Astyanax mexicanus: one gene and its partner. The protein of the gene in region 1 interacts with the protein of each later gene in a pairwise test. Links are inferred from orthologs where the notes say so. Each region holds a gene or a part of one and is shown on either strand. Other genes may lie near its edges. The genes, in order: apoa1b and apoc1.

Region 1 (12,439 bases):
TTCTATTTGGAATTTGGGAGAAATGTCAGATTTTTTTAGAATAAAACATCAATGTTCATTTTACTCAAACATAAACCTATAAATAGCAACTGAAGTGGTCTCTTAATGTTGCAGTGAGTCTACAGCTCTGGAAAAAATGAGTCATACAAACCTTCCAGCTTTGGTGACTATCATCTCAGTTCCAAGCTGATCAAACTGCTGCCACAGGCCAAATGTCTCCAGCTGAACTTTGATGCCCGCTACCTGAGGGGCTTTGGCACAGGTGTCTTCAGGAAGGCAAGGCAAGCCCATGGTGCAGGCCTGTGGTAGCTTAGAGACTGAAGATAGACAGAATGAGCATTAGATTACACATTTATGGTCAGCAAAACAAAGAACAAAGGTAAAATCAGCTTTACCATCCAGTGAGGTTCCATCCATCCTTCTCTGCTGCTGTGGTTTGATTCAGTTACTCAGTTAAGTCCAATCTCTTTGAGAATATCCACATTCAAATTTCCTTGTAAGAAAAGGAATGGAGAGCGGCTTTAGGTGGCACTGTCTAAGAATGTCCTAGCTGAACTGAGCTCTCCTTCTGGTTTTTATACACTGTGAGATGCTAATTAGGCCTCTACTCAACACTCATTCATTCCTTTTGCACATAACCTCAGAAACCAAGATCATACGCTCCATCAAGACCAAGTACTGCTTAATTACATGTATATATTATTGACTGAAGACAGAAGACCATCAGTGCATCTGTGTCTTCGCGACAATCAATAATAAGTCCCTGTGGTCCGTTTGCAGTGTTCAACACACAGCTAATTGGATTTTTAGCACAAGTATCCTGTATGGAAAAGTAGAACTAGGAAACAAAGAAGTCGCCCTCTGACCCCTGGTGGACACTGTGGATGTGGTTCTTCAATAACTCCCCACTTTCAACTCTGCCCTCAGCTCAGTGCTAAATAAATGGATCACTTCTAAGCCTGAAGGGCCTGTCAGACGGCTAAAATGGATTGGCTAATAATTGCTTATTCTTTGGTTCTTCCAAAATCAAGGGTTTTTAATAGTTAAGAGTGTATCCTGTTTTTGTTGGAGCAACTGTCTCTACTGTCCTGGGAAGGCTTTTACTAGATTTTGAGAGAAGGATTTCTGTAAGGTTATATGTAATTTAATTATTACATTCAGCAGCAAGAGTTTTGGATAGAGCACCCACCATTATTCCAGAAAACACAGTTAATTTAGCTAATTTCCAGTGGGTTTTAAACCTATTCTGTTGGTAATACTTTTACAGGGACTAGACAAGCTTTTCTATGGCATGTCAATGGTACATTTATAGATAAAATTGCGCTGCTTAAGTATATTTATGATTAAAATGGCGCTGCTGGGTTAGCTAGGGTAGCTAGCTAGCTAGCTAATTGTGTGACTAAAACAGCATGACTGAAATAAATGAATGACTAGAATAGCACTGCTGAGGTAAATGTGTTGTGCTTTTTTGGTAAGGTTTTAAGTGTTTAATACATATTTTTAAACTGGAGCTTTGAACGTGCATTTTGTTTGAGACAAAATAACATAAAAATACAATTAAATAGCTATTTAATTTTGTTCAATGGTGAAAAAAGAGGTAGAATTAATGAAAACCTGTGAAAAATGGTATTCACTTCGGTATTCAGTTTTGGATAAACATTGTAATTTCCGTCCATCTCTGATCTCTTTATGTATTTATTCATTGTGATTTATTGTGGATTATCATAGGTGAACCGTTATATATAAGGCTGAACACTTTGATTATACAAAATATTAATTAGGTTTACATTAATTAAGCTAAAAATAATTTATAAGAAATGAATGCTGTTTCCTAAAGTTGAACATAACATGAGGCTTAATATTTTGGCTGATCTGTGTCAAACACTGACAGGGTTTAAAAACAGCGTCTCCTGCATATCATTCATTGACCTCATGTTTTTAAGGATCAAGATGTGCTTATGGATCTCCTTGCCTAATGTTCATGGATAAAAAGATTATAGGGTGGTGTTGGCAAGACTTTGCCTGAGGCAGTTCATGAAGTTGTCTCATCCATCTAATACTAATAAGTACAAGATCTCTACCAAACATCAGGTCAGGATCTGTTCCAGGTGATTTATTATCCTAATAAAACCCATTAGTCTCCAACAAACGCATTTCATAGGTCCTAGTGTAAATTTTCTGTTTCTGTTTTCTGTTTCTTTTTATTTTATTTTTTTCCAATTTTTTAATCAACAGGATAATGGACAATAACCAATTGATCCCTATATTTATCATTAAGTTATTGTGCTGCTTTACATTTGACCTGATGTCGAGATCTTCAGGTAGAAAATTTTAATTCAAATGCCCCACAAGTTAGATTTCATATTTAAAAAAGTTAAGAGAGGCTCACCAATATTTTAAATGAATAGTATTATACTGTTTACTGTCACTTCTATCTATTTGCGTGTCATTAAATCAGTCGTACACACAACACTGTCCAGCTTCTATCTGTGGAATTGCTTGAATAGTGTTTGGTTGATACTGTTGTCAACTGGTATCGATTAGCAATGCTAACCTGGGATAATGCTAACAGTAGTAACCTGGGACATAATAAAGGAGTTTATATTTTAAATAGATTTGACACAAAAAAGGACTGTCAAACCCAGTTGTAGTAAAAGTCTTTAGTTGACAGTTTTTTGACAATAGTGTTTTGAAGTAGTGTTCAATTGTCATATTCTTAGTCTTAATGCAGAAACTATTTTGTGTGTGTGTGTTTAATAATAGTTTGTTTAGCACATCTTGAGGAGTAATGAAAGTGAATATGCACTGGGGACAGTTTTGTTGGTCTACAAAGTCTTGTACGTCCCATTCTCTCTGAATAATTATGCATTACTTTATTCTGTTGAATGTAAAGGCTGTTTTAATTGGAAACTGTTTTTTAAAGATATTTGTATTATCATATTAAAGTAGTAGTAGTAAATTTATGTAGAATTAACGGAGCTAGAGAAAGTTTATGAGCTTTCTTGTCATTAATGGGGCAAAATAACCAAACAAATGATCCATGTCTAAAACCAAAGATTCTGTCATTTTGATTTTGCAGTTTTACAGCTAGAGAAAATATGATTTTATGTCCAAATAACCCTTAATTCACACATTTTATGTACCACCGTATGCCTAATAAATAATGTTAAACTGCTCTGCTAATGTTTAATGTATTGATGAGAGCCAAAGCTGAAGGACACCTTAAAAAAACACTTAAGACACAAAAGGAAGTTGTATGAAACAGTCTATTTTTATTGAGCCATTGTTTTGGCACACTTTTTAACAACACAGAAGCACAGCGAAAGGTATTTTTTAGCCAGGCGTTAAAGAATGTTGCACAAAAACAGGTCTTGCATATACTTAAGCATGTGTTTGCTTTAAGTGTCATCAAAAGCTTGGCCAATTGTAAGACAGGCAGTAAAAGTCCTTTGCTGCATCAGCGCGTGGTGTGAGTAAGTAAGTGTGTGATGGAAAGAGTCCTTTTGTATGATAAAGCCTTACAGACTTGGTGTTAGTAACAGGGTTTGGAAATGTAGGAAAGGGTTGAAAGAGGCTGTGATTTGGTGGGAGAGGTGTAGGATAAGAAGGTTTATGCCATGAAGGCCTTTTGGAGGGTTTCCACAATCTTCTCCAGCTGGGGCTTGATCTCTTCTCCCACGGTGGCCAGCTTCTTTTGCAGCTCTCCAGATTCGTACTTGGACTGCAGCTGTCCGAAGACGCTTTGTGCGTGGTCTCTGTACTCCTGGACGTAGGGGGCGACAAACTGCCTCAGCTCTTCCACGCGCTCGGTTGCCTTGCTACGCAGGACCTCCACGATGGGGGTCAGCTTGGACTTGGTCTCCTCCAGGTTGGTCTTGATCCTTTCCTGCAGATCCTTCATCACGGGCTCCATCTTGACGCGGAGCTGCTCCATCTGCTCACGGTGTTTTTCTGTGAACTCCTTGATCAGGGGCTCCAGCTTCTCACGGTACTCATCGAGGTGTTTCTTCACCACCTGGCGCAGCTCCTCGCGCTTGGGCTCCAGCTCTTTGCGCAGATCCTCAACATCTTTCTCAACCTTGGCGCGGAGAGCAATGACGCCTTCCACTACTTGGGGACCGATGGTCTCTCTGACTGGAGCAAGGGAGGTAGAAGCAGCCTCAAGGTAGCCTTGGATCCTTTGCAGGGACAGGGTGAGGCGCTCCCTGTGAAGAAGACAAGAACAAAGATCTTATAGTTACTGTTAGTCTTTAGAGTAATAAATGAGTAGGCCTGGAAAAATAAGCTTAATCTCTTACTTGACTTCCTTGTAGTCACCATCATCAAGACGGTCGATGGCTTTCTGAGCTGTCTCCTTCACCTGACCCAGGTATGTCACAACTGCAGACCTAATCTGTTCATAGTCAGTTGGTGCATCTGCCTGCATGTAGCGGGCCTGGCAACCTGAACAAGCAGGAAGAGGAGGACGAATTTAGACTAAAGATTTTGAACATGCTGCTGGAACAGACATACTGGACTAGGTATTGTTTAAACCTTTTATTATCAGTGTTGGCAAATTGGAACATTTTTTACCTGCGGCCAGAAGAATGGTCAGTGCTAGAGCCACGAACCTCATGATGGATCTGTGAAGAGAAGCAACAAATATTGCAGGTCAGCATCTTTTAAAGAGCTTTGAAGAGCAACAACACATCTTTGACAATTATTACCTAAAGCCTGATGAAACTAGAGAAACTCTCAAGCCGTCCTGAATGAGTTCAGTCTACAGCATATGTCAAGCCTATCAACCTACACTCTAATCCAGACTGGATATAACAGAGCTGCATGGAGTTACAAAGGCTTCACTACCAGATTAGCTCTTAACCATGGGATAATCTTCAATCCCCAAGATTACTCTTGGACAGCCAGGGAGGATTTGTCCCTATCCTGGGGTGACTCTTTAGGAGGCCTTTGCAAAGAATTAAAATGCTATTGGGAAAAATGTAAATGTTGTTCTAAATTGTGATTTTAGCCAGTCTTTCACAAATTAGAATTGTCTTTTAAACAACTCAAGTATAAAAACTAAAACTTAAAAAGTACAATGTCCTACAACAACTGCCTCTATACAATATATAAGTTTTCAGTGCGTAAAATCTTCAACTCTTCAGCCGTGGCTGTCCAGTGAAAAAGTGCCGGTTCCCTTGGCTCAGCTGCTTACCTGTTGATGATGCTGGTCTTGGAGAGACTGATGAGCCTGAGGTGGAGATGGATGTTTTATAGGGCCCCGGGGAGTGGGAGGGAACACTGTGGGGAGTGAGTTTGCCTCTGTGGAGTTGGACCTCACCCCCTCTCTGATTCACTGGACGAGTTGGGTACAATGGTCACCTACTGAGTAGAGGGGGAGGTTGTCATCGATAGAAGCACAAAAGTGCTGTGGAGATGTTTATGTTCAGTTTCTTCTGCTTTTTGGACGTTTTTCGTGCAGATAAGAACGTGAACATGTTTTTGTGTATTTGTGTAAACACTTGGTAGAATATTGACTTAAAAAGGTTTTGCATCATTCAAAAACATACTATTTGTGCATACTTCCTTTTAGAACTTTTTGATCCATTGTACTATTTACTCATCTGTCGCTTATACAGATAATATAATATTCTTTAAATGACCATTGCACACTTCTGTAACTCGATTAGAACCTATATAGTTTGCTCTGTTTTCATTGTAGTAAAGGCATAAGGCCATAAAGGGGGTTCAATGCTTGTGGCAGTGGAGAACCATTATTTCTATAATTATATATATCTATCCTCCAGCTTGGTAAAAATTGGATACTTTTAAAAAAAATTAACTTTAGCATGAAAAAAGCACATTTTTAATGCTTTTTGAGTGTGAAAGTTAAATAAATCAAATTATGTTGCAGATAATTGGGTCAAATGGTTTAGAATGTTAAACCTGTTCTTTACAGGTTGGAATCATTTGAAGAAATGACTTGAAATTACTTGAAAATGACTTAAATCACCTTAATTAAGTTAACATCTAAAATATCTTGTATCTCCAATCCAATCTCAATGCACATACCCTTACAGTGCATTGTTTAGTTTTTTATATTTTATATTTAGAACATACTTTAAAATATTGATTAAATTATCTTATTGCCTTTTATTTCATAATTTTATATGTTCATTTCTAACTCATTATGATTGCAAATAAAATTTAAATAACCAGAACTTTATGTTCCCAACAAAATCTGTGCACACAAGCTTGTAAATTTGCATGGCCGTGAACAGGCAGGCCATTAGTCTTGAGTGGGAGCATTGAGTAAACTGATAAAAAAAAAATGCAAACACATCTACTGCAGTAAAATTCAATGATCAAATCAGTGGCATTAGAGGGGAATCTCCTTCTTTCATTTGTTTTTTTTTTATCCCTCTGTCTTTTCTTTATCAGGGTAAAAGATCCAGCGCTCTCCTGGGTTCTCTGATAAGGTTCTGAAAGGGCATTGGGTACAGACCCGCACCATAAAGCAGTGTCGTAATCTTCATGGTACACTCTGTTACCATATCGCTGCATTAGAAAAAGCTGCCAGACTGCTCTGCATGCTGTGGCAAAATGACAAATGGGTTAAAGGGTCAGTTGAGCTGTCCAGTGTGTGTGTGGACTTTGTCTGTCACTACAGATTTAATGCAATTTTGAAGATATACGTACTGGTTTTTACACAGTAAAGGGATTTTAAGGCATGATGGAAAGGTTTATTTCTTAGTTGTATTTTTAACATACTAAAAAAAAATTAAACTTTATAACCCTGAGATCACACCTTGTAGCCTGGATGCATGTAGAAGCTAAAATCCTATCAGCAATTAGAAGCTTTCTATAACATTAGCATTCAATCTACTGGAATTAGGACAGAAATTAGCAGAAAATGTATCAATGCACTTTTTCAGCCTTCCTGATGAACTCTATGCTTAATCATTAACCTACAAAAGCAAAGAGAAAATCAGCAGAGCAAATTCATGGAATTTAAGATGGACTCCAGGGACACTATCCAAAATGCTCTGCCTATGTGGGAGTATGACGTCTGAGTCAGCAGAACTGCAGTTGACTATTAATATATAGGACAAATATGGAACCAGTCCATCCGTTTTAAATCCATTTGGACCCCTGAACATAGTGTCACACGTATGTAAGAATATAAGTTCAAAAGTGCAGAAAAAAAGTGCAAAGTCAAACGTCAGACCATTACTTAACCGCTCATCCCTGCTTCAATACTGCTAATCAATTTCAAACACTGTCCTTGTACTTTAGCCTTCTAGATTCAGTTCATGTTTTTAGAGTTGAGGATACCAAGCAAAGTGTTTTAGTTATTATTTTTTCCCTATCTTCTCCCAAACACATAAGGTGTGCAATAGCACATGGCTGTCATTGTTATTTTCTGTTTTTAAATTCTCCACGCATTCTCTATTGGGGACAGGTCAGGACTGCAGGACTTCTTGAGAAATGCATGGGTGCACATGGAAAAGATGTTGCAGCGTATGTAACTGCAAAATCTCAATGTAATTTTCTGCCATAGTTAATCGCAGAAGTGTACTTACACTCAAATTAAGTCCGGATAGTCCATTTAGTTAAAAATGATCTGGAATAATGATTCATCAAACCACAGTACTCATGTCCACTGTGTAATGGTCTATCTGGATACTTTTGTGACCAGAGAAGTTGATGCCTCTTCTGAACATGGTTAACATAAGGCTTGCAGTGGCATAAACATAAAGTTGTAAGTGTCATTTGTGGATGTAACTCCATTGTAGTGTTTGAGAAATATTTGCCAAAGGAAGTCCTACCAATGTTTATCTATCAGCTATTGTTGAATACAGGTTCTTGGTGCAGTGCTGTCAGAGGGTATAATGACATTTTAGTAATACTGGCAAACTGAAGATTCTCAACCCATCCTTGCTCCTTAAATATTCAACCTGTGATTTCATGCTGAAGAGATAAAAATACTCTAAAATGACTTGAATTTAAATAAAGTTTAGAACATTTTCTCTCTCCTGATAGATAATCAAGCTTGTACTGTATACGGGAATGTTTCTCAAAGACAGGCCGTCCGCTGTAACAAAGCATTAGCTTTCAATTGCAAATGAGTTCCCTCCCTCCTCGCTGATCCTGAGATGGCTCTGCACTTGATTACAGTGTCCCAAATCCCCAAACTTTCTCTTCACTTCACACGACTTTTATAACCAGGCTCACACCCCCTCTCCTTAATCCCCTCCACAATTCACCCGCAACCTTTCATTTTCCATTCTTCCTGCCAGTAAAACACCGGCTCCCTGCTGAGCGCATTTCTAAACACAGTGTCAATAGCTCTGTTCACTCCTTTAACTCAGCGTGGATCAGGAGACGACTGGCCAATTGGCCCCATTTGTCAGATCAGTTAAATGATAGTGGTGAAGGTTGAGTTGATCTTGTAGTTGTTATCTCTGTAATTACAGTAAGATACAGTAAAATATCATGCATCCTTTACTTTCCTTATTTATACGTATATATTTGTACGTTTATATGTCTAGAGTTAAAACAGGGTGTTTGGATAACTGTTACTTATTTTCTTGACATTTAATCTCCACCATTCGTTTTATTACTTTAATTCTTTTATTCGTGCCTTTATAATGATCAAAGGCTCAGTTTACAATTTAAATATCTAGATAACGGGAATATCTTAATTTTTTAAATTATTTTATTTATTTATTTAGTGTTTTTTGTACAGCTTTCTTTTTTCCAGCTATGGATAAGGTACCCAACCCATGTTCTTGAGTTAAAGCAGAGACACACAAAGTAAAAGTAGAAGTCCTCCTTTAGACCTCCACTCGAGTAAAAGCACAAAAGTATTTGCTTTTAGATGTACATAAAAATTATTAATTTAAAAGTATCATATTTTGTTATGGGTGTAAAGTAGGTCATGATCCATATAGAGTATAAAAATTATTTAAAAAGTTATTAATTTAAAAGTATCATATTTTGTTACGGGTCTAAAGTAGGTCATGACCCATATAGAGTATAGTCATATGATAAGCTTTGGACGCTACTGTTGAAATGCACTTTCATGCAAAAATGCTTTTTGATAATAAAAAAACTATATATGGCTTTTTTTTATTGATATTCTTTATATAAACAATAACCCCCAAATGTGTCTTAAGAGCTATCAGAATTTTTTTTTTCTAAAGGGATTTGTAGTTATGTTCATTTACCAATGTAAAAATTGCATTTGCCAAACATTTAAGAGCGTACAACATGCTAATCTAAGTGTAGAACTGAATGTAGTGTGGACAGTATTCTACTGGAGGACTGATAAAACAAACCTTTGGTCTGGCATTATCTCAGTTAGACACCAATGTCATCACTGAGAATAAATATTAGAACTAGTATCAGTTTCTTCTTTTAAACAACTGCCCTGCTGTTTTTATTGGTGCTAATTGCACTGTGTTATAATAGGATTATTCAGTCATTATTCAGGGTTAAAGACAGTACATTCAGTACTGGTTGCAGTACATTTCCCCAATATCTCCTAAATACCTAAGGAAAATGGTGGTCTTAAACATTGAAAACAGGATAAAGGAGCATAATAAAGTTTCAGCTTGAAATCTAAGGACTCCCCATATCAAACTACATCTAGCACTGCTTCAAGGTGACATCTTTGTTAGAGACTTCCAGGCATTTTTTTAACAAAACAATGCAAAGCCACATGCTGCACACATTACAAAAAAGAAATGACTGCAGACCAAGAGGGTACAGAACTGGGCTGGCCTAACATTTAAATGTAAAACACTTAGGGTTAGCAATGTTATTTTATTATATTATTTTGTTATTTTATATTCTGTTTATTGTTGAGTTAAAAGTCAGGTTAGCGTGTCTGTGTGTGTGTTTGTTTAAAAAGCGAGGGTGTACGGGTGCTGGCGCACCTATAGGAGTGAAATCTTGACAGTTAAACTATAGTCTAGGTTTGTTTCAGTAAGTGGCGCACCTGTGTTTTCCACTGTCAGGTTAGCGTTTAGCCGCTAATTCTAATGCTCCAGCCTTAGTGCTGTTGAATCCGGTAATCCAAGCTTACTGTAAATAAACAAATGCGCTTTACTGACCCAAATAAACAGTTTTCAGGAGAGATATCTGTGTAGATTAACATCCAGTGCTCGTTTGACTTTAAAAGAAGGTCATTTTTTATTACAACTTTGTTTACTTAGCTTAGCCTGCACCCTGCGCAAGGCACTTCACCATGCTCTTTGTTACCATACACCAAGTCAACAGTCTATTTTTGAGTCTTACACTTGCGCCGTCAAAACAGCAAAGGAGTTTAGCAATACCCTATTTTTCGCAGTATAGAGCGCATCGGGTTATAAGGTCCACTATTAACTAAACTAGCTAAGTTAATAGTGCACCTTATAACCCGACACAAGAGGAGCACATTGGAGCACACTTGTATAAACTACAATAGCATGGAAAAAGTAGAGCAAAAGTCACTTTGAAAGCATCTTTGCAGGGTTAGATTAGGTTTTTGGAAGGTGATGTGTGGGTGCCAATCATGGATGTCACGTGACCCGTGGGCGGAGGAATAGAGAGAAACTATGGCGCAAAACAAGAGACCATGGTCCACCACCTACACAACGACACACCGAGAACAGAACAAGATTTCATACAAAATTATTGTCAATAGATTAGTTGATTAAATATATATATATACATTGGTATATATTTGGCATGTGTTTCTTTCACATTCATTTTAATTCAGTGTTGCATGGATATTTCAATGAAAATGGCTGGAATTGCTGTCGTTCTGTTTAAACATGATGTTCCATTCACTGGATTCTTGGTGGACTTAGAGGTTTTCAATGCTAATATTTAGCTTGGCAGTTCATGATGTCCAGCTACCCTAAAGCCACTAAACGTTTTTTTAAACAAACGCCCACGCTTGAACTGATTTAAGAGAACTTTGCAACGGCCTTAATCGAACTGTCCCTTTGACACAGATACTCAGCAAAGTCCCCATGCAAATGCTGCATTACATAATGGTAAAAATGACCATGCAAAAAAAGAAATATTAAGATATTAAAAAAATATTAAATGATCAGTTCTCAACTTATTGGCATTGAAAAAAAAACATATCTAAGTAAGGAACCAGCAAAGCAAAGATTTGTCCGTGTTTTTAAAAGCTCTGTAAAATTATCTGATGTGTGAATTAGCTTTAAGATGCGTTTTGAGATTTTTCAGAATGGTGAGTCGCAAAAAAAAAAAAAAAAAAAATCATACACAGCATGTTAGCAAAATGCAAAAAAAAAAAAAATCCTGCATAAAATTTTAACTTAAATTAACCTCCAAGAACGTCTGTTCCAGCTAATGGTGAAGCTGGACTTCAGACTGCAGGTCAAATGACAGGACGGTTGGGACACACACTTCTGGACAGAGGATAAATCTTCACATTTTTGTTCCAGAATGTATTAAAATTGAATGTATTACTGTGTATGGAAACACTGTTACAGCTACACTCTGGAGGAGCTGTTGTGGAGACTGGAGGGGTAAAAGTTGGATGTAAATCATACATCATCAGTAGTGGACCTCACTTTTGCTCTTATGGCTGAAAGCTATAAAATCCATGCAGCAATGTTTGTAAGCAGTATCTTAAGTAAAGCCTTCCCAGAAGAGTTTTTATGTGGTTACTGCATCAAATTGTCATGTTTAATTAATTAGACTGCAAAATAAGTTTAGAATGTTCCAAAACTACAAACTTCCAAATACCAACATATCCGCTATTACATCACAGTTTAGCCCCGCCCATTAAGACACAGTGCAGCCAATCAGAACAGAGCTTAAATATGTATAAAAGACAGAGCAGTATAAACTGCCTTCTTGAATAGAAAGGAGAAAAAAAGGTTTTAAAATCATGATGCTTAGAAATAAAATTACATTGTGCGTAGTCTTTTTTTTTTATTTATTTTTTTATCTATTCTCAACTTCTCCCTGCTTCTTTCTGCAGTGATGGACCAAAGACACTGGGACACAGCAGATATACTTCTCTAAGTGAATATAATAAACAGTTTGTAAAGGAAATTTACCTTTCTCACACGGCAAATCTCAACAGTTGGAACACTGGATCAGTAAAGGCTGCGTCTCAGTTTGATTATGTATCATGCAGTTTAAATAAAAGTGTCAAAGCTACTTATTCTTAAATATTCACAAAACATACTCAGTGAAACAGAAAGGGAACTGCTGCAGATACTCTGAGGAACTTTGTCTGAAACCCAAAGCCTTACTGCCCACACTAGCTTACTAAGAAGGCAGTGTAGGAGCGTTTAGCTGTGTTACCATAGTCATTAGCATTTTAGCCCATTAAAAGAGGTAGATCACTAAACTTTAATTCAGCAGGAGAATTTGCAGTGACTTATGAAGATATATCAATACTTCATCTCATCCACAAAATTAGGTACAC
Region 2 (13,173 bases), on another chromosome or scaffold:
GGAGCTTAAAGAATACTTCAGCTTCTATTCAAGTCACTTTTTTGATATAGCACTTGTACTTTGACTGAAGTCTGGGTCTCTAGTACTTTATACATGTCTCCACATCAGATAACTTCTTCACAACTTCAAACAAACCTGTGTTAACTGACTTTGGCACCACAATGTGCCAAAATTAATTATTTTAACTTAACTGCAACACATGCAATGTGACTTTAAACCAGTAGATGACTCCCTCTCCTCCTCTCTCCTAATCCCACTCATCTTTACAATCAGCTTGTCAAATCTTGTAAAAGTGTACTGGGGTATTGCGAAAGCATACAGCTGTACACTGATAAATCAGCCTTTGGGGGTGTTTTTTTTCTGGAGGAAAATTTTTTATAGTAGGAGATAAAGTTACAATTTCTTAAGATAAGCTTATTTATGCTCCCTTAGGAATCAATAACGTATCACCCTCTACATATCTGCGGCTACATCTCAAATCCCCACATTCTACTGTATTGCATGTTATGCATAAATGCACACCTAATGACTAAGTACTTTGTACTATTTTTGACCTATTTTTTATTATTATTTAAAAGCATATGGCAGAAAAACAGTGTAAAAGTAGTAAAGCCAAAATTACAAAGAAAGAAAGATGAGAGACAAGTTGAAGTGATACTGCATTCGTTTCGAGATCTTTTCCTGGAAGCCTATGTTGAAATCATGCCCGATTTTCCAGTAACAAAAACAAAAGTCCCTTCTTACGGTGGAGCTGCAGGGGTCAGCTGTTTTGCTGGAGGGATAAACATTAAAAAACGCAAACATTCTGCAAGTCAGCAATTCCAATTCAAACAACCAACTTCATCTGCGCTTCAGCTCACAGGTGCTGGGACCAACGACCTCCAGTAACCTGCTGAGATTCCAGTGCGCCTCCAAGCGTCCACTGAATCATCACACAGGACTGGGTGATACTGACAAAAAAATATATAAAATTGTGATTATATTTGCAACGTAATAAATTATAAATCCATATCATAAAACATTGTGACAGTATAAAAAATGCAAATAAAAACAAAGGGCCCAATTGTAGTTTCACAAGGTGTGTTGTGATGCTCTTTGCTACCTTACACCTCATCAACAATCTATTTTTTACGACTTGCCCCCGAACTGTTAAAATAGCATTAGAGTTTAGGAAGTGAGGTGTGTTCAGCTAAAGTTCTGGCGTGTTGCTATCTTGGCAGTGGAAAACACAGGTTCTCCAATGACTAAAGTGAGAGAAGGCTTTTAACTCAACAATAAACAGAATTAAGAATAAAATAACATTGCTGTTCCCTTAAATAAATGAGCTGCTGGTGTATCCTCTACTGAGACGCAAAAAGTGCCGGACTGTTACGATACGAATGTGCCAAAGTCAGAGCTCACTTGGCTCTTAAAGGGAATGACTACTGGCAAACTGATTGGTTTATTTCATGTTACGCCCAAAATTAAACACACCCATGATTCATTAAGAGAATTAGAGCATGGCTTTTGTGCGTTTTAAGCTACACAACGTGTAATTTTGCAAACGTACGATACCAAAGACACACCGACATGCACTAAATCAAGCTGCATAATGCGCAATGATGATCAGTAAGTTATAGATTGCTAAAAAGGGTCCCATTATATATTCAAACTTCACTTCCTTTGTTAATATACATCCATTCCTGCATTTTAAAAAGCTGAGTCTTTGAAAAGCAAAGTTGGGCAAAGGTTCTCAACATCCACTTTCGTATGGGTCTTTGCTATTTAAATGACACAGGCACAAGGATTAAAAAAAAAATGTTGACTGTTGGTGGAGTGTAAGATAGCAATGAGCATCACAATGTGCCTTGCACATAGTATAAAATGGGGCCCATGATGCCTTCTAGATAACATATTTTCCAAGGATGTCCATACACATGGACTGGCTAGTTCACAGTCCTGACCTGAATATGGACAAAAAAAAAAAAATGCAACAACGACGCCCCCTACTGTTGGCACAGCACAAAATAATCCCTAAAACACTCCATCGCTTTGGGTTCGCTTTCTTCTCCCAGGCACAAGAGCACGTGTCCTAACCCGACGCTTGTTTTTTTTATAAAGGAGCCTTTCTTTAGTTGTTTACCTGCATGACTGACATTTGGTGCATGTCCTGACCCGCAGCTTCATGCTCCACACAACATAGAAAAAAAACTCAGCATGATTTATGATTTATCTGTCTCTGTATCTCTGTCTTTCCTTTCAATCTGTCTGACAAGCACACACACACACATCACATCCACACCACAGTGTGGACAACACACTTTGTTAGGATATTGTACAGCAGGGAAAAAATAGGTGAAATAATCATGTAAATTACTGGAATAAAAAAAGATGAAAAACATTACACAAGTCTGTAAATACACACACATTAAACCTTCCATAACTCTGCCCAAAAGCATGTTCATCAGACAAACACTACTGTTAGCCTTATTTATTTGTGTTAATGATTAATCACTCAATGATTAAATTGGTGAAGTGATAATCTCATCAGGCCAATGCGCAGCCATTTCTTTGGAAAAAATGCACTATTGCTCTGGAAAAAATAAGAGACCACTTAAAAATGATGAGTTTACCAAATTGAAAACCTCTGGAATATAATCAAGAGGAAGATGGATGATCACAAACCATCAAACCAAGCTGAACTGCTTTTGAATTTTTGCACCAGTAGTAAAAGCATAAAATTATCCAAAAGCAGTGTGTAAGACTGGTGGAGGAGAACATGATTCCAAGATGCATGAAAACTGTCATTAAAAAACAGGGATATTCCACCAAATATTGTTTTCTCTTAAAACTTTATGAATATAAACTTTTTTTTTTTTTTTTTTGCATTATTTGAGGTCTGAAAGCTCTGCATCTTTTTTGTTATTTCAGACATTTCTCATTTTCTGCAAACAAATGCTCTAAATGAGAAGATTTTTATTAGGAATTTGGGAGAAATGTTGTCTGTAGTTTATAGAATAAAACAACAATGTTCATTTTATTCAAACGTAAACCTATAAATAGCAAAAGCAGAGAAACGGATTTATGAACTGAAGTGGTCTCTTATTTTTTTTCCAGAGCTGTATTGCTTTACTACTACTATTACTTTTAGTACTACATAACATTTAATTTAATTCATAACAACTTATCTCCTGTACTTTAAAATAAGGTTAAATTGTTAACTAAAGCTAATGAAGTTTATTATACATTTTTTGTTGAGTTTGCATCAAATTTAACTGAATGATTGTGTATTTTTTGTCTGCAAAAAAAAAAAAGTGACCCTGGCATCAGGCAGTTTATATAATTCTACTTTTAAAAATACTGTTGGTGTAATGACTTTCTCTGGTTTAGCTTTTACAAGGCTAAACGTTTCTGCAGAACAGAGTATCTCACACATCATCGCTCTGATTGAGTTTACAGTTTTATTATGCAGGAATGTCTCTTTAATATGACTAGTGATTCCAAACTTCTTTACCCAAAAGTTTAAAGTGATGGGTAAAGACATGCATACATGCAACAACTTGTGTTACACATTCATATGAAAAGCCCAAAGACAAAGAAAAAGTGAGAAAAAGCTCACAAGAGCTAATCCCCTAATGGTGCGAGCCATCAAACACGCCATCCAATGGCTCCAGATTAAAAGCTTCTAATAGTGCCGTTCGTTCCCCTCGGGCCTCAGGTCTTTTCATATTCACGACCAGAGGTAACTGCAGTTCACTGCCTCCCTGCATGACTCCCTCATCAACAATGTCCTCATTTGCACGGAGTCTCACTTCCCTTCCTGCTCTGAGTCTAGACGCCGCAGAGACCTTTTTCAGCACTTTTTCTCAAATCAGGCCAAACAACAGGCCTGACGAGATCAAGGCCTTTTAATAGACTCGGCATGGTCCGAACGTGTGACTCATGATTCCAAAACACCAGGGCAGAGAGAACTTAGTGAAGCAGAAAACACAGTAAAGAGAATTAGGGCCGTTATTGTCAGGAACACAACAGTTGTGCTGGGAATCGTGTCGGTTAGAAACACTTTTCTTGGCATAACTAGTAAATTTCACATACAGTACATAAAGTAAAGTATCTGCAGACACAAGCCTGTCAGGATAATTACTCTATATCTACTTATCATACAATAAATGGACATGACCTCAATTATATTTGATAATCTTGATATTGTCTATTATATGAACTAGGGCTGCAACTAATGATTATTTTGGTTGTCACCTAATCTGATTATTATTTTTCGATTAGTCGATTAGTTAACGATTATTTCTGCCATGTCTTCCATCTCTTAAAAAAAACAAACAAAAAAAAAAAAAAACAGCTGAACATGAGATTTAAAAGGCATTTAAATGTCTACATGTTGTTTAAATGTGGACAGTACTGATGTTTAGTGAGTAAATATGTAATCTATTGTGTTTGGGCACTTTTGGAGAAAAAGACTAAGTTGAGTACAACCTATATAATATATTGTATTTCTCACATTTTTTTAAACCATCTGAACCTCACGGTTGATCTTCGAAATATAAGATTTTTACACAGACTTTAATTAAAAGTTAAGTAATGTTCTTTTTCTATTATAAAATAGATTTTTTTGCTAATGAGGCATTTAAATATATTTTCTTAACTCTCACTATAATACTTAATATAAATTCCAAGAATCTGAACTATATGTCTCTGTAGGTCTCCTATAAGGTGTATTTCCTGGTGCATAATTAAGTGATCTAAATATGTTAATTTAATGTGTTTTTTAAATAAGATTGCAAAAATAGCAATCTTATTTTAAACCTGTAGTTGATCTTTCCTGATGAATGGCACAATAAAAACACACCAAATGAATGACTATGAAAAAATGTGGTTAATACTGACATCCATTTAAAATTTAGAAGGATGATTTTGTTGAATCATCTCCATTATCTCTCTAGATATTAAAATGTGAATCTACCAAGAATCTGGAACTAAATTTATTTTATATATGTAAATAAATAACAGCAGTGGAATTAAATCGAAAGCTTGATGTTATCTTTGGATGAAAGTTCAGAAACAACAAGCTAAAACTAAATTGGCACCACCATGTTGTAAAATGTAATCATCATTGCTGATGTAATGTAATGCTGTTGCCTCAGAACACTAAATAAATTTAAAAGAAACACATCCACCGCTTCCCTGACTACAGAGTGACTGTTATTTCACTTATTCACAAACTGAAGCAGAGAATATAATATCATATTCATCAAGTTTACTTAACACACATAAGCCTTGATGTCTCAGCACTTTAACAAATCAGGGCATTTTGTTGCACTCCTCCGTATTACTCGGGGATATCACTGCACAGGTTTACATAATTCTATACAGATAAACAAACAGCTAATCAATACCAGCTGATAAACCCTCTATCTGTCTCTATAATGATCACAGAGAGTGTTTTATCATGACCTTATCAGCAAAATACTTTACAACTGACCAGTGATGTAACCAAATGTAGGGCTGCAGTGCATTTGGCCCAAGTTAAAATAAGTTTAAGATTTTTGCAATGTTATTTGTAGTGGTGTCGATCGAAAAAAAAAAATACATCACATTAATCACAATAGACTTCTGTGATTAATTAGGAATAATCACATTCTTTCTTTCTGAAGACTAAGCTTTCGATAATGGGTATTTAAATGTGAATAAAATAATTAGTGTTAAAAATTGTCATTATATCGCTTAAGAAATAATTGTAATAATCCCAACAATAGCCTGGATAAAATCGGGATTACATTTTTTTAAATGTAAGGTACTTTAACTATATTTTTGGGAGGGGTACAAAAATAACGGTGTAGTGCAAATGCTTTTTTTTATATATTATAATTTCAGGGTAGATTTCCTATATTATAATATCTCAGGATAGGTTTACTGTATTATAATATCTCAGGATAGATTTACTGTATTATAATATCTCAGGATAGATTTACTGTATTATAATATCTCAGGATAGATTTACTGTATTATAATATCTCAGGATAGATTTACTGTATTATAATATCTCAGGGTAGATTTACTGTATTATAATATCTCAGGATAGATTTACTGTATTATAATATCTCAGGGTAGATTTACTGTATTATAATATCTCAGGATAGATTTACTGTATTATAATATCTCAGGGTAGATTTACTGTATTATAATATCTCAGGATAGATTTACTGTATTATAATATCTCAGGGTAGATTTACTGTATTATAATATCTCAGGATAGATTTACTGTATTATAATATCTCAGGGTAGATTTACTGTATTATAATATCTCAGGATAGATTTACTGTATTATAATATCTCAGGGTAGATTTACTGTATTATAATATCTCAGGATAGATTTACTGTATTATAATATCTCAGGGTAGATTTACTGTATTATAATATCTCAGGATAGATTTACTGTATTATAATATCTCAGGGTAGATTTACTGTATTATAATATCTCAGGATAGATTTACTGTATTATAATATCTCAGGGTAGATTTACTGTATTATAATATCTCAGGATAGATTTACTGTATTATAATATCTCAGGATAGATTTACTGTATTATAATATCTCAGGGTAGATTTACTGTATTATAATATCTCAGGATAGATTTACTGTATTATAATATCTCAGGATAGATTTACTGTATTATAATATCTCAGGGTAGATTTACTGTATTATAATATCTCAGGATAGATTTACTGTATTATAATATCTCAGGGTAGATTTACTGTATTATAATATCTCAGGATAGATTTACTGTATTATAATATCTCAGGGTAGATTTACTGTATTATAATATCTCAGGATAGATTTACTGTATTATAATATCTCAGGATAGATTTACTACATAATAATACCTCAGAGTCGATTTAATGCTTTTTAAGCTAGATTATTGTAATGAGTTGAATTACTGAGCTTAACTGAGAGTTTAAATGAAGTAAATTAACGCTAGTGTAGCTCCATATTCCACACCTTTAACAGCTTGAAAAAAGGGAACATGCCATCAGCTGTGTGTGTGTGTGTTGCAACATTTGACTAACACTCATATACTATAAAACTACCAATAGGCCTCTATATATGTCCTAATTTGACTTGAAAAACAGAGGACTTTCAGCAAAGTAAAACTGAGAAGAGGGGTTTAATAGGATGTTATGTTGTCTAAGGTAAGTCCTAGTTTGGCCAGTTATTTTTCTTCCAAAGTGGGGATCGAAGGTTGCAAGGTCCAGGTAATTTTTTGATGATATTGATTATTTAGGTCTTTGCGATTCTGATAACGAGTGGACTTCATACTACTCCATGCACCAACATGCAAGCAGGCACATATCACATTCGCTGGGTATGTGGCAGAGATATGAGTCTCAAAGGTTAGCAGCACTACACACGTATGTCCTGTACATCACGTTAATACACTTTTTAATCAGAAATAGTGAACGTAAGTAAACCTGTAAACCTATAAACCTCTAAATTACTAAAGTCTTCTCCACAAAAAAAATGCTTATGTAAGGGGCTTATGCAAATGGAAACACATACACAAAAATACATAACAAAAACACCCCCCTCCCCTCCAAAAGACAGAAGTTCAATGGGCTGGATGGCATAACAAAAACTGCGTAAGCTTTACGGGAGGCCTTGATGGGTCAGAGGTGGTGTGTTTTGTGATGACGTCAGCAGGAGGAGGTTGTTAGCTCACTATATAGGGCCAAGCAGTCTGCCTGTCTTTATGCTCTAACTTCTCTTTCTGGAAGAGGACGAAACAGGTACATCTATAGCTACTGCATTCTCTAACAACATAGGGGTCTGCTTTTATTATCTAGCCACTTCTATTGTTTAGGAGTTTTTTTTTTTGGATAGAAATTGCATAACTACAGTGTCTCTCTCACTGAGTAAAATGAATAGAGAAATTTCTGCATCTTTAAAGGGTCTGTGGGAGATTAACTAACATATAAGAGAAAATAACATATATCAAACATTTCAAATTCTTGTTAGTATTAATTAAAAAGTTAAGAAGTTCAGTTCAGTGACATTCATCCAGGAAGATATATTTTAAAACTACATTTAAAAATCGAAAAAAAAAAAAAAACGTAAATTTAAAAATTAAACGTTAATGCAAATCTAATATCAAGGATGAAAACAACAAAATTACAGCAAATCACAGTTTTTGTCTTATTTATAATATTTAAAACTACAGTATCTGTGTAATGTTTAACAGGTTAAATTATAGCTACTGTATTCTCTAAAAAATAGGGGTTTGTTTTTATTATGTAGCTTCTTCTCTTGTTTATGCTTTTTTTTCTGTAAAAACTGCATTAGTACAATTACTACAATGCTAATAATGCATATATATTTTTATTTTTTTTGCAAGGCTGTATTTTGGCAACATCTAGGAGTCAGTTTTACACCTTTTCTGTGTGAGGTTTAAGAGGAGAAACAGTTTAAAACAATTAGCTAGCTAATTAGCTACATATGCATTAGCTAGCTAGCTAGAGTTATACCCAAAGATAAAAATATACAACTAAAAAATATTTTTAAATTTGTACAATATAAGTTAGTTTTAAAATGTTATTTAACATTTAGAATGAGAGAGGAAAGGAAGCTAGATAAACACATGTTAAATAACATTTTAAAACGATATTGTACGTCTTTAAAATACTCCTTAGTTGTGTATTTTTATCTAGCTATATGAGTTAACCCTTGCTAGCTAGCTAATGTAGCTAACTAGCGTTACTTATGTAGCTAATTAGCTAGCTAGCTAGGATTATATAAGGTTAGATAAAAATACACAACTAAGGATTCTTTAAAATTTGTATAATACTGTTTTAAAATGTTATTTAACAAGTGGATTGAAAAAAGGAAACAGGATAAAACCAATGTAAAAACTATGGCTTTGTTTTTTATGCTAGCTAATTACGTTAGCTAGTTAGTAGTTAGCTTAGCTAGCTAACTTTATATTATTAACTTCAGGTCTAAAAATGCTTATTTAAGCCTAAATGTGTTACTTTTCGAGGATATTTCATGTCTCTGTAATGCCCTTTAGCTCTGTAATACCTCATTTGTGTATAATAACTAAATATATGTGGATATTTTTCTCTCTTTTTTTCAGTAAAACCAGCAAACATGAGACTGTACCTCGCCATTGCCGCTCTGGTGCTCGTGCTGGCTGCGCACGCAGGTAAGAATCACTGAGTCACTCGAATCACGAATCGTTCGAGCGAATCGATTCCTTGTTTGATAACAAGCTGAACTGACGCTTCAGATGAATTTTACTTAACTAATATTACTTTTTTAGTTTTTAGCAACAGCCTAAGATTATTAAATACATAAGACATAGATATATACGTTTAAAAGTACTATATAAATAATATAACATTTAAAAATAAAATAATATTAGTAAAATCAATTAGTAAAATATGTTCACTTCTGAATATTGGTATAAAATTCAAAATTAAATATGTAAATATGATCAATTCAGTGTGCAGCTCATTAATGTTTATTTTTCTTTACTGTGGGCACATGACTTTAAATATTTTAAGGCTAAAAACAACAATTATTAGATACATGGAACCTAAAACATTTATTTAATGTAGCAACTAAAGTGTATATATTTTTAAATAATACATCTAGTTTAGCTATTTGTTGTCCATCCTCCAGCATTAATCCATGTAACCTACTAACCCATATATTCTGGGCTCCATGAGATAAAATGATGGACAAAATGCTGTAGGAAACTTTCTACATATTTTAAATGGTCTTTTAAAATGTGCTCTTTTGGGAAATTACCCATTTTAAACTTTAAACCATTTAAAAAGAAAAAAAATGAGTAAAATTATTTAATTATGAAGGTTAAGATGTTCATCAGAATGTGGACATTCTCACAGGAAGATAACAGAGTTAAATAGTATTTCAGGTAATTTAATTAGTCAATAAATTTAAGCTTTGAAAAAACAAAAATAACAACAAATTACTTTTTTAGTTTTTTGTCTTTAAGTATATTTATATTATTTAAAACCACAGTACATGTTTAATATTTAAGGGCCATTTAGCTGATTTTTTATTATTTAAAATCTGCGTAAATCAGTGGTTGAGACATGATCAAAGTCATTTGTTGTAAAATAAGCAATTATAACAAACTTTTCCAACTCAAATTGGAAATGGTCATTTTAGTCCAAATTATATAATACAAAACTCTCTTAACTTAGTGAATAAGTCATTAGCCATTACATACAGTAACACACATGCATGTAATGTAATTTATTTATATGCCGTAACCTTTAGCATGCTTACAGAACACATTGTGTTGCACTAAAATCATTCTAAACAAGTTTATGAACCTTTTCTCTCTGCACAGAGGCCCAGGAGGAGCCCACAATAGAGCAGCACTTCGCCAACTTCCACACAAAAGTCAAGGAATTCGGATCAGATGTGGCTGAGAAGACCATGGCCACCATCAAGGAGATTGAGCAGAGCGAGTTCGCCGCCAAGACCAAGTAATGCAATACGCAGATAAACACAAAATACACTTAACACTTTTAAAAATAACTTTCTTGTATATGTACTTATACAAATACAGTTTTACAAGTAAAATGATTTTTGGTAGATAATAATTTAGAAAGATAAAAAAATAAAATTTCATGCATCAAGCCACAGAAGCCTCCTAAATAAAATTGTTCAGAGTTTTGGTGGTTTATAAATATTTGGACATTTGGGTGTTAAATTAAACTATTAAATTATTATTCTGTGCCAATTAAATATGATTATTTATTGTAAACTTAGAATTCAATAATATTACATTAAAACATAGGTACATTTATAGTTACAGTGTAACAATGCATGGACAAGTGAATTAAATTGATACAAGAATACATAAAATAAATACTATGATACAATCAATTTTAATATATCAGTACTTCTAGGACCCCTTGTGGCCACTTATGGCAAGAATCTGACTATAAATTATAATAATAATAATAAAACTAGAAAAGGCAAAGTTCGTGAACGAACTTTAAGTTGGCTTGGAAAAGTACGCTAATAACGTTGAAAAGTTAAAATGGTTGCTAAGTGGTTGCTAGGTAGTTGTGATCATTACTAAAGTGGTTGCTAAGCGTTTGCTAGGCAGTTGCTAACGTTTTCCAGGTGGTTGCTTAGGTGTTGCTAAGCAGTTGCTAGGCAGTTGCTAACGTATTCCACACGGTTGCTAAGCAGTTGCTAACGTTTTCCAAGTGGTGGCTAAAGTATAGCTAACTGGTTGCTAGGCAGTTGCTATCATTTCTAAAGTGGTTGCTAAGCAGTTGCTAGGCAGTTGCTAACATATTCCACATGGTTGCCAAGTGGTTGCTAGGCAGTTGCTAACATTTTCCAGGTGGCTGATAAGATGTTGTTAAGTGGTTGCTAGGCAGTTGCTATAATTTCTAAAGTGGTTGCTAGGCAGTTGCTATAATTTCTAAAGTGGTTGCTAGGCAGTTGCTAACGTTTTCCTAGTGGTTGCTAAGGTGTTGCTAAGTGGTTGCTAGGCAGTTGCTATCATTACTAAAGTGGTTGCTAAGTGGTTGCTAGGCAGTTGCTAACGTTTTCCTAGTGGTTGCTAAGGTGTTGCTAAGTGGTTGCTAGGCAGTTGCTATCGGTTCTAAAGTGGTTGCTAAGCAGTTGCTAGGCAGTTGCTAACATATTCCACATGGTTGCTAAGTGGTTGCTAGGCAGTTGCTAACATTTTCCAGGTGGTTGCTAAGATGTTGTTAAGTGGTTGCTAGGCAGTTGCTATAATTTCTAAAGTGGTTGCTAGGCAGTTTCTAACATTTGCCTAGTGGTTGCTAAGGTGTTGCTAAGTGGTTGCTAGGCAGTTGCTAACGTTTTCCTAGTGGTTGCTAAGGTGTTGCTAAGTGGTTGCTAGGCAGTTGCTATCATTTCTAAAGTGGTTGCTAAGTGGTTGATAGGCAGTTGCTAACGTTTTCCAAGTGGTTGCTAAGGTGTAGCTAACTGGTTGCTAGGCAGTTGCTATAATTTCTAAAGTGGTTGCTAGGCAGTTGCTAACGTTTTCCTAGTGGTTGCTAAGGTGTTGCTAAGTGGTTGCTAGGCAGTTGCTATCGGTTCTAAAGTGGTTGCTAAGCAGTTGCTAGGCAGTTGCTAACATATTCCACATGGTTGCTAAGTGGTTGCTAGGCAGTTGCTAACATTTTCCAGGTGGTTGCTAAGATGTTGTTAAGTGGTTGCTAGGCAGTTGCTATAATTTCTAAAGTGTTTGCTAGGCAGTTTCTAACGTTTCCCTAGTGGTTGCTAAGGTGTTGCTAAGTGGTTGCTAGGCAGTTGCTATCATTACTTATGTGGTTGCTAAGCAGTTGCTAACGTTTTCCTAGTGGTTGCTAAGGTGTTGCTAAGTGGTTGCTAGGCAGTTGCTATCATTACTAAAGTGGTTGCTAAGTGGTTGCAAGGCAGTTACTAACGTTTTCCTAGTGGTTGCTAAGGTGTTGCTAAGTGGTTGCTAGGCAGTTGCTAATGTTTTCCTAGTGGTTGCTAAGGTGTTGCTAAGTGGTTGCTAGGTAGTTGCTATCATTTCTAAAGTGGTTGCTAAGTGGTTGCTAGGCAGTTGCTAACGTTTTCCAAGTGGTTGCTAAGGTGTAGCTAACTGGTTGCTAGGCAGTTGCTATCATTTCTAAAGTGGTTGCTAAGTGGTTGCTAGGCAGTTGCTAACGTTTTCCAAGTGGTTGCTAAGGTGTAGCTAACTGGTTGCTAGGCAGTTGCTATCATTTTTAAAGTAGTTGCTAGGCAGTTGCCAACACATTCCACATAGTTGCTAAGTGGTTGCTAGACAGTTTGCTATCATTTCTAAAGTGGTTGCTAAGCGGTTGCTAGGCAGTTGCTAACCTTTTCCAGGTGGTTGCTAAGGTGTAGCTAACTGGTTGCTAGGCAGTTGCCAACACATTCCACATAGTTGCTAAGTGGTTGCTAGACAGTTTGCTATCATTTCTAAAGTGGTTGCTAAGCGGTTGCTAGGCAGTTGCTAACCTTTTCCAGGTGGTTGCTAAGGTGTTGCTAACTGGTTGCTAGGCAGTTGCCATCATTTCTAAAGTGGTTGCTAAATGGTTGCTAGGCAGTTGCTAACATTTTCCAGGTGGTTGCTAAGGTGTAGCTAACTGGTTGCTAGGCAGCTGCTATTATTTT

What was found.
Region 2: the proteins of apoa1b (region 1) and apoc1 interact in a two-hybrid assay, tested with the Homo sapiens proteins (2 studies listed by BioGRID, with this or other methods). The link is inferred for Astyanax mexicanus from reciprocal best matches to the Homo sapiens genes APOA1 and APOC1.

Annotation. Positions count from the first base shown.
Region 1 is NC_064411.1:43,928,689-43,941,127, forward strand, and holds apoa1b (apolipoprotein A-Ib), read right to left. Parts: upstream 5,260-12,439; 5' UTR 5,195-5,259; intron 4,623-5,194; 5' UTR 4,616-4,622; coding exon 4,573-4,615; intron 4,444-4,572; coding exon 4,299-4,443; intron 4,206-4,298; coding exon 3,611-4,205; 3' UTR 3,253-3,610; downstream 1-3,252. Other genes in the region: T-box transcription factor TBX1, read right to left, coding at 152-317, 396-417. UniProt on the Homo sapiens protein: Participates in the reverse transport of cholesterol from tissues to the liver for excretion by promoting cholesterol efflux from tissues and by acting as a cofactor for the lecithin cholesterol acyltransferase (LCAT).
Region 2 is NC_064413.1:3,263,974-3,277,146, forward strand, and holds the start of apoc1 (apolipoprotein C-I), read left to right. Parts: upstream 1-7,619; 5' UTR 7,620-7,778; intron 7,779-9,121; 5' UTR 9,122-9,135; coding exon 9,136-9,190; intron 9,191-10,366; coding exon 10,367-10,505; intron 10,506-13,173. UniProt on the Homo sapiens protein: Inhibitor of lipoprotein binding to the low density lipoprotein (LDL) receptor, LDL receptor-related protein, and very low density lipoprotein (VLDL) receptor.